Ovis aries: one gene and its partner. The protein of the gene in region 1 interacts with the protein of each later gene in a pairwise test. Links are inferred from orthologs where the notes say so. Each region holds a gene or a part of one and is shown on either strand. Other genes may lie near its edges.

What was found.
Region 2: the proteins of LSM1 (region 1) and LSM4 interact in binary tests that used the Homo sapiens proteins (3 or more experiments, as listed by UniProt). The link is inferred for Ovis aries from reciprocal best matches to the Homo sapiens genes LSM1 and LSM4.

The regions. Positions count from the first base shown.
Region 1 is NC_056079.1:32,439,912-32,446,075, reverse strand, and holds the start of LSM1 (U6 snRNA-associated Sm-like protein LSm1), read left to right. Parts: upstream 1-1,380; 5' UTR 1,381-1,552; coding exon 1,553-1,598; intron 1,599-5,710; coding exon 5,711-5,779; intron 5,780-6,164. Other genes in the region: BAG4 (BAG family molecular chaperone regulator 4), read right to left, coding at 731-1,000. UniProt on the Homo sapiens protein: Plays a role in the degradation of histone mRNAs, the only eukaryotic mRNAs that are not polyadenylated. Probably also part of an LSm subunits-containing complex involved in the general process of mRNA degradation.
Region 2 is NC_056058.1:4,693,513-4,700,721, reverse strand, and holds the end of LSM4 (U6 snRNA-associated Sm-like protein LSm4), read right to left. Parts: intron 5,323-7,209; coding exon 5,139-5,322; intron 3,324-5,138; coding exon 3,232-3,323; 3' UTR 2,688-3,231; downstream 1-2,687. UniProt on the Homo sapiens protein: Plays a role in pre-mRNA splicing as component of the U4/U6-U5 tri-snRNP complex that is involved in spliceosome assembly, and as component of the precatalytic spliceosome (spliceosome B complex).

The sequences.
Region 1 (6,164 bases):
CCATAGAACCGTAATCCTCTATGAAGAATATTGCATTAACAAACAGAAGTATATTTCCGGCACGACGACACAGAATAAAATGTCAGAGGTCTGAATATATTGAGCAAGTGAGTTAACCTTTCACTGTCAGCAGTTCTTCCACCGTAAAACAGGGACGCTGTGATGACATCTACGTTGCAGTCACCGTTAAGATTACATACAACCCACGGACAGGTGCTTTCCAACACTGATGATGATCGGTGATTCAATACCGGGCAATGCTTTAGGGGCAAAGGGCTAAATGCCCAGATCCCTCCCTTTCCTTGGCGTTCCTTCCCAGCGGGAGGGGGCTGCAGCCACATCCCTCCTCGGAGAGAGGCGGCCCCCACGAACCACGCAGGATAAATTGTGAGGACTGGAAAAGCAAAGCCAGGTCACTCCAGCCCAACCTCGTCCCCAAGACGAGAGATTCGCAGCCTGCTACTCAGCAGGTTCAGCGCAGGATGTTTTTCCTGGTAAGAAGATATTTATTACGGCTGAAGCGCAAGAGGAGGGGCAAAGAAAACACAAGCATATACCCCCACCGACGATCCTAGTCTCTTGTCTCTCCAAAGCCGTATTAGGAAAACGCACGAAACCCAATTCATTACGAACTCTTGGGAGCTGTATCAATCCCAATGGCCCTCACCCCCAAAGATTCCCCTATCGGACCCCCCCACTCCACCCTGGGGACCGGTGGCGCAAAGCTCACCTGGTGGCCTCCACCAGCACGACCCGGCTCTGACCAGGCGCCTCCAGACGCGTAGTAGCCATCGCCTCCTCCGCCTTCCCCCGGCCAGGTGGTCTCCGCCGGGCCGCCCCCGCGTCCCCGCCAGGAAATGGGAGGTTGGGGAGGCTCGGGGCGCGGGGGGTAGATGGGCGGAGGCGGGTGCACCGGCACATCTCCACCCCCAGGCCCGTAGTAGCGGCCATAAGACGGGCCGTCACTGGGGCCGTAGCCCGAGCGCCTCAAGGCCGACATGGGCTCTGCCGCCCCCAGGCGCTTCCCGGCCCCCCGCCCCTCACGGCCGGCCCACCGCGCAGGCGCCGACGGGGGAGCGTGAATGGACCACAGGGAAAGGGGGTCGGCCTGCAACAGCCAATGCTAGGCAGGATCCCACCCCCCTTCACTTCCGCGTCCTAAGAGGACGAGGGCGGCTGTCCGTGACTCTGGGGTCTAAGAAGCAGGAGAACGAGCGTTCCTTAAAAGGGAGAACGCACCTCCGCACTGTCCGTGCAGCCTAGACTCCTCTTCCCCTTCTCGTCAGGGATATGTAAAGGATATCCTGGGGCGGGGGAAACCACACGAACTGTCCCGCCTCTTCCTGAGGGCGGGGACGTGGTGCCGGAAGTGGGTGGGGTAACATGGCGGCGTTTCCGGCAGGCCCCGGCTACTGAAAGCCGGGGCGGCGGCGTTTGTCCGGGTCCGGTTCCTGTCCCGGTCCCGCAAAGGCGGCGGCCGCGGTGGGAGGAAGGAGGTGTGGGACGCGCTGGCCCACCGCCGCTATACGCTGCAGCTCTGTCTCGACTCAAAATGAACTATATGCCTGGCACCGCCAGCCTCATCGAGGACATCGACAGTGAGTAGTTCATCTCCTCAGAGTGAAGTCTAGGGTGAAACTCTTCCTCCCAGGAGGGTACCTCTTAAGGAGGAAGCTGATAGAATGAGTCCGGGCCGGGGGCGGTGTGTATTTAGTCCAGTTCTGGACTTCCGGCGTTGGCATCCTCGCAGGATGCGGGAGTCACGGGACACACCGTTTGCCACTTTATCCCCTCCTGCCTGTATCCCGCCTCTCGCAGCTTCCACCGTATCTACCGGGCAAGCTGTAGAATTCATTTCTGCTTTTCAGAGTTGCGGCTGCTGAAGCGCACATGTGAAGGTTACCGTTTCCCCGGTCCATCGTCTCCCACCTGTGGTATTTCGAAGTACCAGGTGGTTACTGGGTGGATGAATGAGAATTCTCAGAAAAAGGGTTCTTGCAGAAACGAAAATAGTAATACAACAGCAGTTGGACTTAATTAGCACTAAACGTAGGGTTTATACTGTGTGGCCGTTTGCAGTCTTTTAACCGTTTGAGAGTATTTAGCTTTTCAGACTAGGTAGTGACTTTTCCAGAAAGACTGAGTCACTTCAAATTTACTTTTTTTCCTCTGTTAGTTTTCTCTTGCTGTTAAGACCTCCCTTATTCCAAGTCACTATCCTGAAGAAGAGCTCGGTTGTATCAGATGTCTTTTGTTTTTCCAAACTCTCATCTGTGAATTACTCCTAAAACAACACTTTTTAAAGTTGTGCCAATTGTGTGATCTGTCTCATTAACTTGTAATTGCTGTGAAACATTTACCACACAGTTCCAAACAAGTTCAGCAATTTTCTGCAGTTACTGTGTATGTAAAGAGTGAATTTGTGATGAAATCCTCTTCCTATTCTCTGAAATCACTCTTCAGATCCAAATTAGTGATTTTGCTACTGAAGGGAATGTAGTGTAGCTTGGATCAAATTCATGTGTGAATAACCACTGTACAGGCCTGTCTGTAACATGTAATGAAATCTTTAATTCTAGTTGTCTTGAGGATGGTGCCCTCACCTCTCTAGTTATGTATCTGAGTTATTTGAGATCCCTAGCACATCCTGCCATTCTAACAAAAATAATTGTTTTTCTCAAGTCTCTAACCCCATTTTGCAGATTCCAAGCTCCTCCTCTACTGAATGGTTTCAAATCATTTCATACGCAGCCTTCAGTGCAACACACACACACACACTTTCCTCCTCTCTCCTCAGTCTTCCTGTATTTTCACCCATCCTGTCATCTCAGTTGGAAGTATTCCTCCCTTTCAGTCTGTGTCTTATTTATTTTTCCTTCCAGCTGCTTCTGGAATCCATTAATACCCTTTTTCTCTCATATTTCTTGCTCCCCTTCATGTATGTTCTTGTCTGTCGTATTTTTTTTCAGTTATATTTCACCATCAAATTCCCATTCCTTTTTTCACATCTGTACCCCCAAACCTCTTAAATCATCTCCCATTTTAACTATTTCCTGGCTACCTGGAGTAGACCACCTCTGTCACCCTACAATCAGATTTTTTTGTCAACACACTACTGAAACTGCAATCTTAAAAGACATCTGTCTAATGCATTCCTTCCCCTTTTTGGCGCTGTGATGCCATCATCATAGGATTCTTCATTTTCTTGATTTTTCCAACACTGGTCCTTGATTTTCTTATCTCTGCAACAGTTATTGTTCCCTAAAATAAATGGACCCCTAGGTTCCATCTTTGGCTGCTGCTTTCTTTAAATCTCTAGGAGAGTTCCTGGACTTTAATAATGATATCACCTCTTTGTGGGCATATCAAAAATTGCTCTTTGGCCTTCCAGTCTTAGATCTCCAGTTGCCAGCTGACGTTTCTGCACAGGTGTCTTGATACCACTTGAGAATCACAACAGCAAAACACCTTTCATGGGATCTTGCTTCTTTCACTCCTAACTTTTGGTACATAGTCCTCCCTGACAAGATGACTCAAAATTCCTGCATCATCTTTAACCCATCTCTTCAGCTTCCCACTCTCTCACACACATATCCACATATACAAACACACTTGGTTGACCGATTCCATCCCTTATAACTGCAGTGTCTTGATCCTCTCAGCCTCTCCCGTCCCATCTCTGCCCTGCTTCAGGTCTCTTCTTCATGTCTTAGACTCTGGTAATAGCCTCAAAACCATTCTCTCTTTTTCAACCAGTTGAATCTTCAGAGTTGTCTTGTTCCCCATGAAGGCACATCCAAACTCAGCCTGCTCCCAGTACTTTTCTGACTTCATCTCCTATTCCCTTCACACCCTCAACTTTTAGCCACACATCCGGATACACAGCTCCCTTTTCTTCTGCCTAAATTACAGATTTCCCCCTTCCAGTCCCTGTCACTCTTCCCATGGCCAAAAATTATCTACCCCTTTTAAGGTCCATTGGAGAAGGCAATGGCAACCCACTCCAGTACTCTTGCCTGGAAAATCCCATGGGCAGAGGAGCCTGGTAGGCTATAGTCCGTGGGGTTGCCAAGAGTCGGACACAACTGAGCAACTTCACTTTCACCTTAAAGTCCAACTCATATCTCCAGCTAGATACAGTTTCTCTCACTCTCATGTAATTAAGATTTGCCCTCTTGTGGTACTTAATTATAGCAAAAAAAAGCCTTTAAATTCCTTCAGGAAAGAATCACTGTCTTGTTGCACTGTTCTGCATCTTGTTGTTCAGTTGCTCAGTGGTGTCCAACTCTTTACAACCCCATGGACTTTAACACACCAGGCTTCCCTGTCTTTCACTGTCTCCCAGAGTTTGCTCAAACTCATGTTCATTGTGTTGATGATGCCATCCAACCGTCTCATCCTCTCTTGCCCCCTTCTCCTGTTGCCCTCAGTCTTTCCCAGCATCAGGGTCTTTTCCATTGAGTCGGCTCTTTGCATCAGGTGGCCAAAGTAGCGGAGCTTCAGCATCAGTCCTTCCAATGAATATTCAGGGTTGATTTCCTTTAGAATTGACTGGTTTGATCTCCTTGCTGCCTAAGGGACCCTTAAGAGTCTTGCATCAGTTCTTTGGTGCTCAGCCTTCTTTATGGTCCACGGTCTGCATGTAGAAAGTACTTTATGCATGGCATTAAAGACGAATAAGTGATTTTCGCTGGCTGTGCTGGGCTTCCCTTGTAGCTCAGTCTGCTAGCTATTCTAGTGACTGGCTTACTGTCATTCCTCAGTGTCGGCTCAGAGTCACCTCTTCAGAGAGGTTTTCCTTAGCCACCTTCTTTTTTTTTTCCTCCCCCTGTGTTTGTTTATTTACTCGGCTATACTGGGTCTTAGTTGCAGCACATGGTATCTTTAGTCGCAGCATGCACACTCTTAGTTGTAGCGTATGAGATCTTGTCCCTGGGCCCCCTACATTGGGAGTGTGGAGTCTTAGCCCCTGGACTACCCGGGAAGTCCCCAGCAAACTCTCTTCTATAGTTTCTTCCCCTCCCTTTCTTATATTATCCTGCTGTCTTATTTTTATTCTGCTAGACTAATCACCATAGGTCATTTTTTAAAATATGTTTGCTTTTCTCCACCAGGCTTATAAGTTCATGAGGTTGGTGACTCTGAGTCTTATTCTCTACTATATATCTAGGCCCCAGAACAGCACATAGCCCTCAATGCATTCTGTTGAATTTTTGCTCTGGTTTTATTCTCAGCATCCTCATTTTACATGTCTTTGGTACTGTTTTTATTTAAAACCATCTCTGATTCCAAAGTGTGAAATAGAAACTCTAAGTTGAGGAGAAAATAATTTTGGAAAATGAAGATCATAAAGACCATCTAGAGCAAATGTCCAGATTGGCAGGTATAGAAACTGACATGATGCTGACAGGGTTTAACTGTCGAGCACTGGCGTCTGGAGCCAGTCCGTTGGGCCCCCTGACTGTGTGCCCAGTCCCTCCCCGCTCTGCTGCCCCTCTTAGATTCTTTTCACCACCCATCTTCTCATCTAAACTAATCCCCAGCTGCCTTGGCCATCCCTCTAGTTTCTCAATGAACTGCGTTAAATGCATTAAATGCTCTATAAGAGGAAATGCTAAAGCTTAATCTGCTATTAACTCTGTTTTTGTTTCCCTGTAAACTCGCTGAAGCTAACGGTTCATTTTTTAAAGATCTCTTTTCCTCTCCCCAGAAAAGCACTTGGTCCTGCTTCGAGATGGAAGGACACTCATAGGATTTTTGAGAAGCATTGATCAATTTGGTATGTATTACTCATGGACTTATCATGAGTCCGTGGTGATAAGAGCCATGGTGGCTTTTATCATCCCACACTCTGGATGATAAGAGCTGCCCACTGTATTTTTATGTTGTTTCGTATTGAAGTTTATTTATCTGCAACTTTTTTCACGTACCTGGCATGATGAAATACTGTTTTAAGTCACTACATCATTGTTTTCTAAATTACAATTAGGTGGTTTGAAAGCTTGTGTTTACAAGCTTATATTTTATTTCTAAAACTGGTTTTCACTATTAGAACATGTCGTTACAATGTTTTGGACTGTTTTTTATTTTCCCCATTAGAGGGAGCCAGATGATAGAAATACACTCAGTCCACTGAAAAGGCTGCTCATTTGTACATTGGCTTG
Region 2 (7,209 bases), on another chromosome or scaffold:
TCCCCGGCCGCCTCTGTGGCCTCTCCCTTGGGCTGACCCCACCCCCCACCCCAGCACCGCTTCCTCTGGTCTCTTGGCTTCCAGGCTTGCCTCCGTCTGTTCTAGAACCTTCTGTGGCTTCCTGTCTCACTCAGGGCCTGCACCTGCCCCATTTCCTGTCCTCTCACGTTGTTCCTGCCACCACCTGGCACAGGACCTTTGCACAGGCTGTCTCCCTGTCAGGAACACTCTTCCGCCGGGGGCATGGCTCCTCTGCCTCCCTCCGGCCCTTTTTTCAAATGTCACCCGTGGGTGGCCTGCCCTGACCGCCTCTCCCCACCCTCATTTTCTTCCTGGCATTTGTGCATTTGGCCTGTTCGTTGCCAGCTCACCCTCCTGGAAGGTTAAGGGTCACTGGGCTGGGGGACTCTGTTTAATTCACAGCTTAGTCTCCAGTGCCTGGGATGCGGTTGTGGCCCCAGTTTCTCCACCCCCAGCCAGGCCTCTGTTCCCGTTATGGCGAACAGCTGCCCCCATTGAGACTGTCTGAGTGGACATCAGACCACCTCCCGTACCTCCCACAGACCAAACAGCCTTGTCCACGGAGGGCTCTCAGAGAACACTGAGACAGTGATGGCAGGTAGGGACACACAGGCCGGGACACGCAGACCCCAGGGCCCAGCTGAATGGCTGGGGAGGGCACCTGCCATCAAGCCTGCCTGAGGAAGTGGGAGGCAGCAGGCTGGGGCAGGGCTTCCAGGGGAGGTGCTGGTGGAGCAGCCGGTGAGGCCAGTGGAGGAGGAGTCAGTGCTGAGGGGTGTGCAGGACAGGAAGGCAAGAGTCGCCCTCCTGCCCACCACTACCTGGGGGCTGCTGCTTACGGCTGCCCACTGGATCCAGCTCCCTGAAATGGACTCATGGCCCCAGGTTGAAGCAACAGGGCAATCCAGGCAGGCCCCAGGCTGAGTCACACCTGGGTGTGTGGGCCTCCCTGGCCTGACAGCTGGAACAAACTCCAAAGGGAGGACGGCCCGCGGGAAACACCTACACTTCACCACCTACACTTAAGGTAGCCCGCAGGCTGCGGGTCATGCAGCAGTCAGATGGTGGGGGCGCTAGCCCCCGGAGACAGACCATCAGGAGGGCAGAAAGAAGGAGGCCGGCTTGTGGGAACCAGCCCGGCACTTTTGGTTTCTCTTCTTGTTCAGGGCGTTGAGGCTGGTTTCTTGAAACCAACCAGGAAGAAGAACTGGAAAACCGGGCTGTCCTGACACCCAGCTCAGGAGGACGGAGGCTTCCGGAAGCCCCTTGGCACCTAAGCGGCCAGTGCTGGGGAGGCGGCTCACGTCACCAGCGGGCTCGGAGAGAACTGGGCCGGGAGCCGGGGCTGCCCGGCTGGAAAGGTCAGGGGCGGCTGGCGGCGCGGGCAGGAAGCCGCGATTACGCACGCCGCCGGGGATGCGCCCCTGTGTGGAGACGGGGCGCGTCGGAGACCCAAGACCTTGAGCGGCGAAGAGGCCCTTGGGAACGTCTGTACATGTTCTTGGTCCAGAGCTAAGGAAGAAAAACCAAACCGCGAACGGCAGGAAGGGGCGGGGCTTCTAAAGGGTTTCTCGTTCACAGCCGTGCAGGACACCCGAGGCAGAGCCCCCGGCTTTCATCAAAGCCTCACCAGACATCACGCCCTTGCAAAGTGGGAAACCCAGACTTCAGACCAAGGCCCCCAAAGGCCATTATGGGATTCTGTGTCCAGGGCTATGGGGTGAACACAGGCCCTCCCTCCCCGCCATTCTTTTTTGTCTTCCTACCAGCCTGGCCTGGCACCGCCCACGTCTCTGAGGGAGGTGGGTTCCCAGGGCCCAGGTCACATTCAGACCCCGCACCGCTGTCCCCAACCTATGCCAAAACAAGGACTCAGGCAGCAGCAGGTCCTGGGCGGGGTGCAAATGGAGAGAAGCAATGATGAGGAAGTGGCAGGGAACAGCACTCTCCAGATAGGATGAGACTGAGAAAACTTAAGAGAGGCTTTGCCATAGCTAGGCCAGTACTTGGCAGACCTAAGTGGAGCTCTACAGGCACCACCATCTTTTCTTCCAATCACCCTTCAGAACCGGTCTCAACATGGTATCGGTGACAAGTAGACCTCAGGCCAGGTAGACCTCACATCCATAGGAACCAGCCTCTTAACACCAGGCTGTCCAGGAATATCGGTCAAAGGACCACATCGCCGGAAGTGTTCCGCACAAGTGCTGGCTCAGCGTCTCAGGCAAATCGCTGAGTCGCGGACAGGCAAGTGCCCCGACCCTAAGAGGAGGTAAACAGTTCGTGAAAAGCCTTCCTCATGTGTTCCTGGAGGCAGCTCCATGTCACGGCTTCTCAGGGAGCTCTGCTGTGAACAGTGCTTGCACAACAGAGATGGAGGCTGAGGACAGGCAGTGTGGGTGTCCCACTGGCTCCCACCCACAACTTCCCTCCCCCACCGCCCCACAGAGGGGAAGGGGCTCCCCTACTGCCCAGACCCCCATTTTGCCTTCCACCTTTTGTAAGAGGCTGCTGAGGGTCATGGGAACCAGTGTCCCATTGAAATGCTTCCCCTTGGTGAGAGGCCACAGGGGGCAAAAGGAAACTTCTTGCGTGGGGGCTGTGATTTCCTGAGGACACTACAACTAGATTCACCCAGTGGTTCAAAGGAATTATGGATTTCGCAGTTTGTAGTTGTATTTGTTTTTATTTTTCTAAGACAAAGAGGGAGAGAAGAAGGGACGGAATAGGGCCCAGCATCATCCCCCAGAACAGCTTCTGAGGCATACGTTTGCCTGGATCCATTTCGAAAAGGCAGTTTCAGGGTCCGTGTTTCAGGAGACCCTCCAGGCTATCAATCTCAGTGCAAACAGCTGAAAATAAAAACCTCCCGTCTGTTTACCACACAGAATGCAAAACAAACCTGTTTGGAAAATGCCTGCCCTTAAAACAAGAGTGAGGGCTTTAACGATGCATTAAACACAGAATCTTCCAGGAATCCAGTTGGCTGCGGCTTCACAAAACCAGAAGCACAGAATTAACATTTCCAACCATAGAACTGCTGGCTAACAAAAAAAGAGGAGGACCACCAGAGGACAGGCAGGGGGTCCTCCCCGACCCCTGCCTCTTCTTTTTGTTCTGAACAGTCATAAACTGGAGACCAGGAATGCAGCCTCAGGGTGGGAGCAGGTGCTCGGCGCGGCAGCTCAGTCTCGGGAATGGAGGGGCGGCTCACTGTTTGCCCGCCTGTCTGCCTGGCTTCTTTTCTGGTTGACCTCTGCCAGTCCCAGGGATCCCACCTCGGCCCCGGCCACCGAACACACCTGTGAGACAGGAGGGGGGGTTCAGTAGAGCCAGGCTGGGAGGGTCACTGTGGGCAAGGACCAGGAACTGGAACCCTTAGACTATAGCCAAGTCGTTGAACCCCTCTGAGCCTCAGCTTTCACCTCTGTAAAGTGGGGGCAGTGACTGTACCGTCGGTGGGAAGAGCAGGTTGAAAATCTGAGATGGAGTGTCTGACCAGGGCTGGGCAGGGGTATTGCTCCACAACATTCTCAGTGTGACAAGGGATATCAGACCAGGCGCCCCAGGGGTGCGAAGGATGCCAAGAAGGACAGAGGTTGGCATCAAGTCACACTGGGGCTTGCGGGGGCGGCGGCGGGGGGGGGGATATGCTTCCTGGAAGAGAGGGCTGAGGGCCAAGGTGAGGGGGTGGGTAGTCATCAGCAGGACAAAATCAGAAGGGTTTCCAGGAGGAGCTGGGAGTACAAGCTAGGATGAGGCCTGGACTCAGCCCAGGGGTGGAGCAACGATGCTCAGCTCTGTGACTGGGGCTGCACCGGGGGACCCCACCCTGCCTTGCTGAAACAATGGGGTGGGGTGGGGTCTCTGTGTGTCCAGCCCAGAGAAGGGGCGGGGGAGCCTCCTGAGCTCTGACCTCTGCAGCCAGAGGTGGGGCTGTTTCCGAAAGGCATTTTACGTGGAGCACACAGCACTGCTGCTGGGGAAGGTGAATAGCCCAAGGGTGGGTGCAGCCCCTGCCCAGGAAGTCACAGAAGCAGCAGCCTGGCCTTCCAGGGCCCCCTTCCTCCACACGCATACAGGGGACAGGGCCAGGGCTGACAGGGTCTGCCCAGCCTCATCTCTAATGGAGCAAGACCCAGCTTGGGCAAGGGGAGCCTGGTCATGCAGGGGCCCCTATGCAAGCGCCTCTCCCTGTCCTCCCTGCTCCTTCAGGCAGTTTACTCGACAGCGATGGCACCCTGGGTGGGCAGCCTAGCCCTGGGGGCAGGTCCTGGGACCTCTGGGGCCCTGCTCACCCCCATCCTAGGTTCTTCTCCACCTGCGGTGCCCTCTTCTCTCTGGCTCCTTTCTGTCACTCAAGCCTCAGCTCAGGGGGGCTCCTATGTCTTTCCTGGCTCTGCATATAAGCCTCCAGGGTGGGTTCCTGGAACCTGGCATACAAGCCCCTCCAGGTGGGTGAGACAGAAGTCGGGTGGGGGAGGGTGGGGCCCACAGCTGGCCTCTGGGCTGCGGCTCTAGCTGACTGCACGTTTAGTTTTATGCAAGATTTATGATTTCAGGGTGGTGCGGGGTGATCTACCCAAAAGGCGTGACCTTGGTTTTGTCTAAAGGAGTCACAGCAGGGAAGGGTCCCAGGCTGGGCACCACGGGGATCTTCTCCGCAGGGGGGAATCTGAGCCTCCCCGAGGTGCCCAGAGCACCTGCCAGGAAACACAGGTGGGGCTCAAGTCCCAGGTCTGTGTGGGTGCTGGGTTAGTCTGCTGGGCGGCATCTGGAGCTGAGGGAGCACCAAGAGCCACTGCGGGGAGGAGGGCCCATGTTGTGAGGATGGGCGCGGCCAGCACTGACCACTAGGGCTTAGCTGGGCTCCTGGGGTGGGGGACACGGGGCATGCAGGTGGCAACCAGCAGCACCAACTGTTCCACAGAAGAGCCCCGTGAGTCACAGCCCCCCAGTGCCATGGAGGAGGGGCGCAGAGCCAGGCCCTCGGCAACATGACGCCACCAGCGGAGAATGCCAGCACTGGGCCAGGCCAGATGCCGCGCGCGGCAGTCACGCTCCAGCGGGGAGGCCCCGGCTGCCTGCCAGGGGAGAGGGCGGAGAGAAGGGCCTACCTCGCCCGGCGCCCCCCATCCCGCGGCCCTTCTGCTGCTTCTGCTGCTGCAGGCCACCGCGGCCACGGCCCTTGGCCACCACCTCCTCCTTGACCATGTCGATGATCTCGTCAGGGATGCGCAGGTACTTGATGGTGCTGCCGCGGATGTAGCACTCGGGCATCCGCCAGAATTTGTCCCCGTCCTGCAACAGGGGGTACGTGTCAGAGCCGTGGGGAGGAACGTGTAGGCAGCCGGGCAGCATCCATCCACTCAGGCTCCCTGTGCCTGGCGTCGCCCCCGCAGGGTACGAGGCCCCTCCTTCTGCACAGGACGTGGGAGGGCCGCCCTCCAGCAGGCTCTCTCCAGACCCTTGGCAGCCCTTCACACACGAGGGCGGGCAGGGCAGGGCCTCGTGAGCAGCCTGTGCCCTCAGCCTGTCCTCTGGTGGGGGATGCCATCCAAAGCCTGGAGAGGCGCGAGGCTGCCTCACAGGCCAGGTGCTGCCACAGCTCAGCTCCTCCCCCTTCTGCTCCCCGTCTCCCCGAGCTCTCCTGGAGTCCGCTCCACGCACTGTGACTCAGTCATTCACACAAGTGTCTCGTGGCAGGGTCTGAGCTGGCCATGGGACACAGGTGAGCAGGACACAGACCCTGGGTGGTGGGTGAAGAGGGCCAGGAGAGGGTGGGGAGGCAGGTTTGGGGCCAGCCGGGGCAGCATCCAGTGATGCCAGTTTACAGGGGAGCTAATGGAAGCTCGAGAGACAAGGGGACTTGTACAGCTGTAGACTCTTGAGCAACACCGACCTTGACGTTTTCAGGATGCTGTCTCCCCCCAACTCTCAAACACCCTGTGACCAGCACAAGGCCTCACCCCACCCTCCTGCTGCCCTTGGGCAGGAGCCCGGGATCTCATCCATCAGATTGCTTCTCCTGCCCCACCCCTGCTGCCCCAAGCCAACCCCTCCCCCACACCCCTAGAAATCAGACCAAGACATCTCCCTGCTTAGATCCCAATCAGGGCCCCGTTGGCCAAGGATGAGGTCCAACTCTCTCAGTGTGGCTCCAGAGGGCCTGAGATCCAGCCCCACTCTGGCTGCCCTCTCTCAGCATTCGATGTGCCTTCCAGATGGAACATTCTGGAACACACGCAGTGGGCTTCTGGCCTCCCGCATTTTGCACACGCTGTTTCCTCCTGTTCATGTCTGGCTAACTGCAGCCCTCAACAGGCCTCGCTTACAGCCTCCTTGAAGCCCCCAGTCCTCCTGAATGACATCAGCAGTGCCTGGACCACTTGGCGCAGCCCAGTGCAGGCGCTCGGCGGGGACAAGTGGAATATCTGAGGGCCAGCTCTTCCCAGGAACATACATAAGAGCCCCCGACCCATACAGGAGCCCCAAGAGGCCTCAGAGCATTCTTTTCCCAGAAAGGGTAGGCGAGCAGCCAAGTCTGTGGGGATGCAGAGTACAGCCAGGCAGGACGATGATTCTGTGGAAGCTCAGGGCTGGGACCGGGGCGGCCTTTCAGCGTGAGGCATTTCCCCAGCCAAGGGCAGGCCAGCCCAGCGCACTCCCTGGGGGAACCAGGCTTACACGCTTTCCATGGGGGCAGCTCATGCCTCCAGACGCTTGCTCTCCTGCATACTCTCAGCCTCTGGGGTCTCTGGATCCGGCTGCCCCCGGGGAGAAGGGGCTGCTGTCACCTGCTTACAGGTGAGGAGGCCTGATGGCTGCACAGATTGGTTCCTCACACCCAGTTTCTCCTCCCAACTGCTGGGTCCTGAGGGGAACCCTCCAGGGGGAGCCATGTGTCCAGGCTTGGCCGTGGAGGCAGGACTGACCTTGGCCCCAAGACCCAGTGATTGGCTCCATGTCCTCAAAGTGGACAGAACCCGTTGGCCGTGTGCAGAAGGACACGTGCCCAGCTGTGCACCATGGCGCCATGTGCTACAGCCACAATGGAAATCCCCAGCCACCTGCCACCTGGAGTTTGGTCCCAGGAAATAAGCCACAGAGCTGAGCAGCTGAGGGGGAGGGGGGGTGGTCCCCCCTCCCCTGTGTGTCTTCGAGGACAAGAGTGGCTGCCTCGTGCTC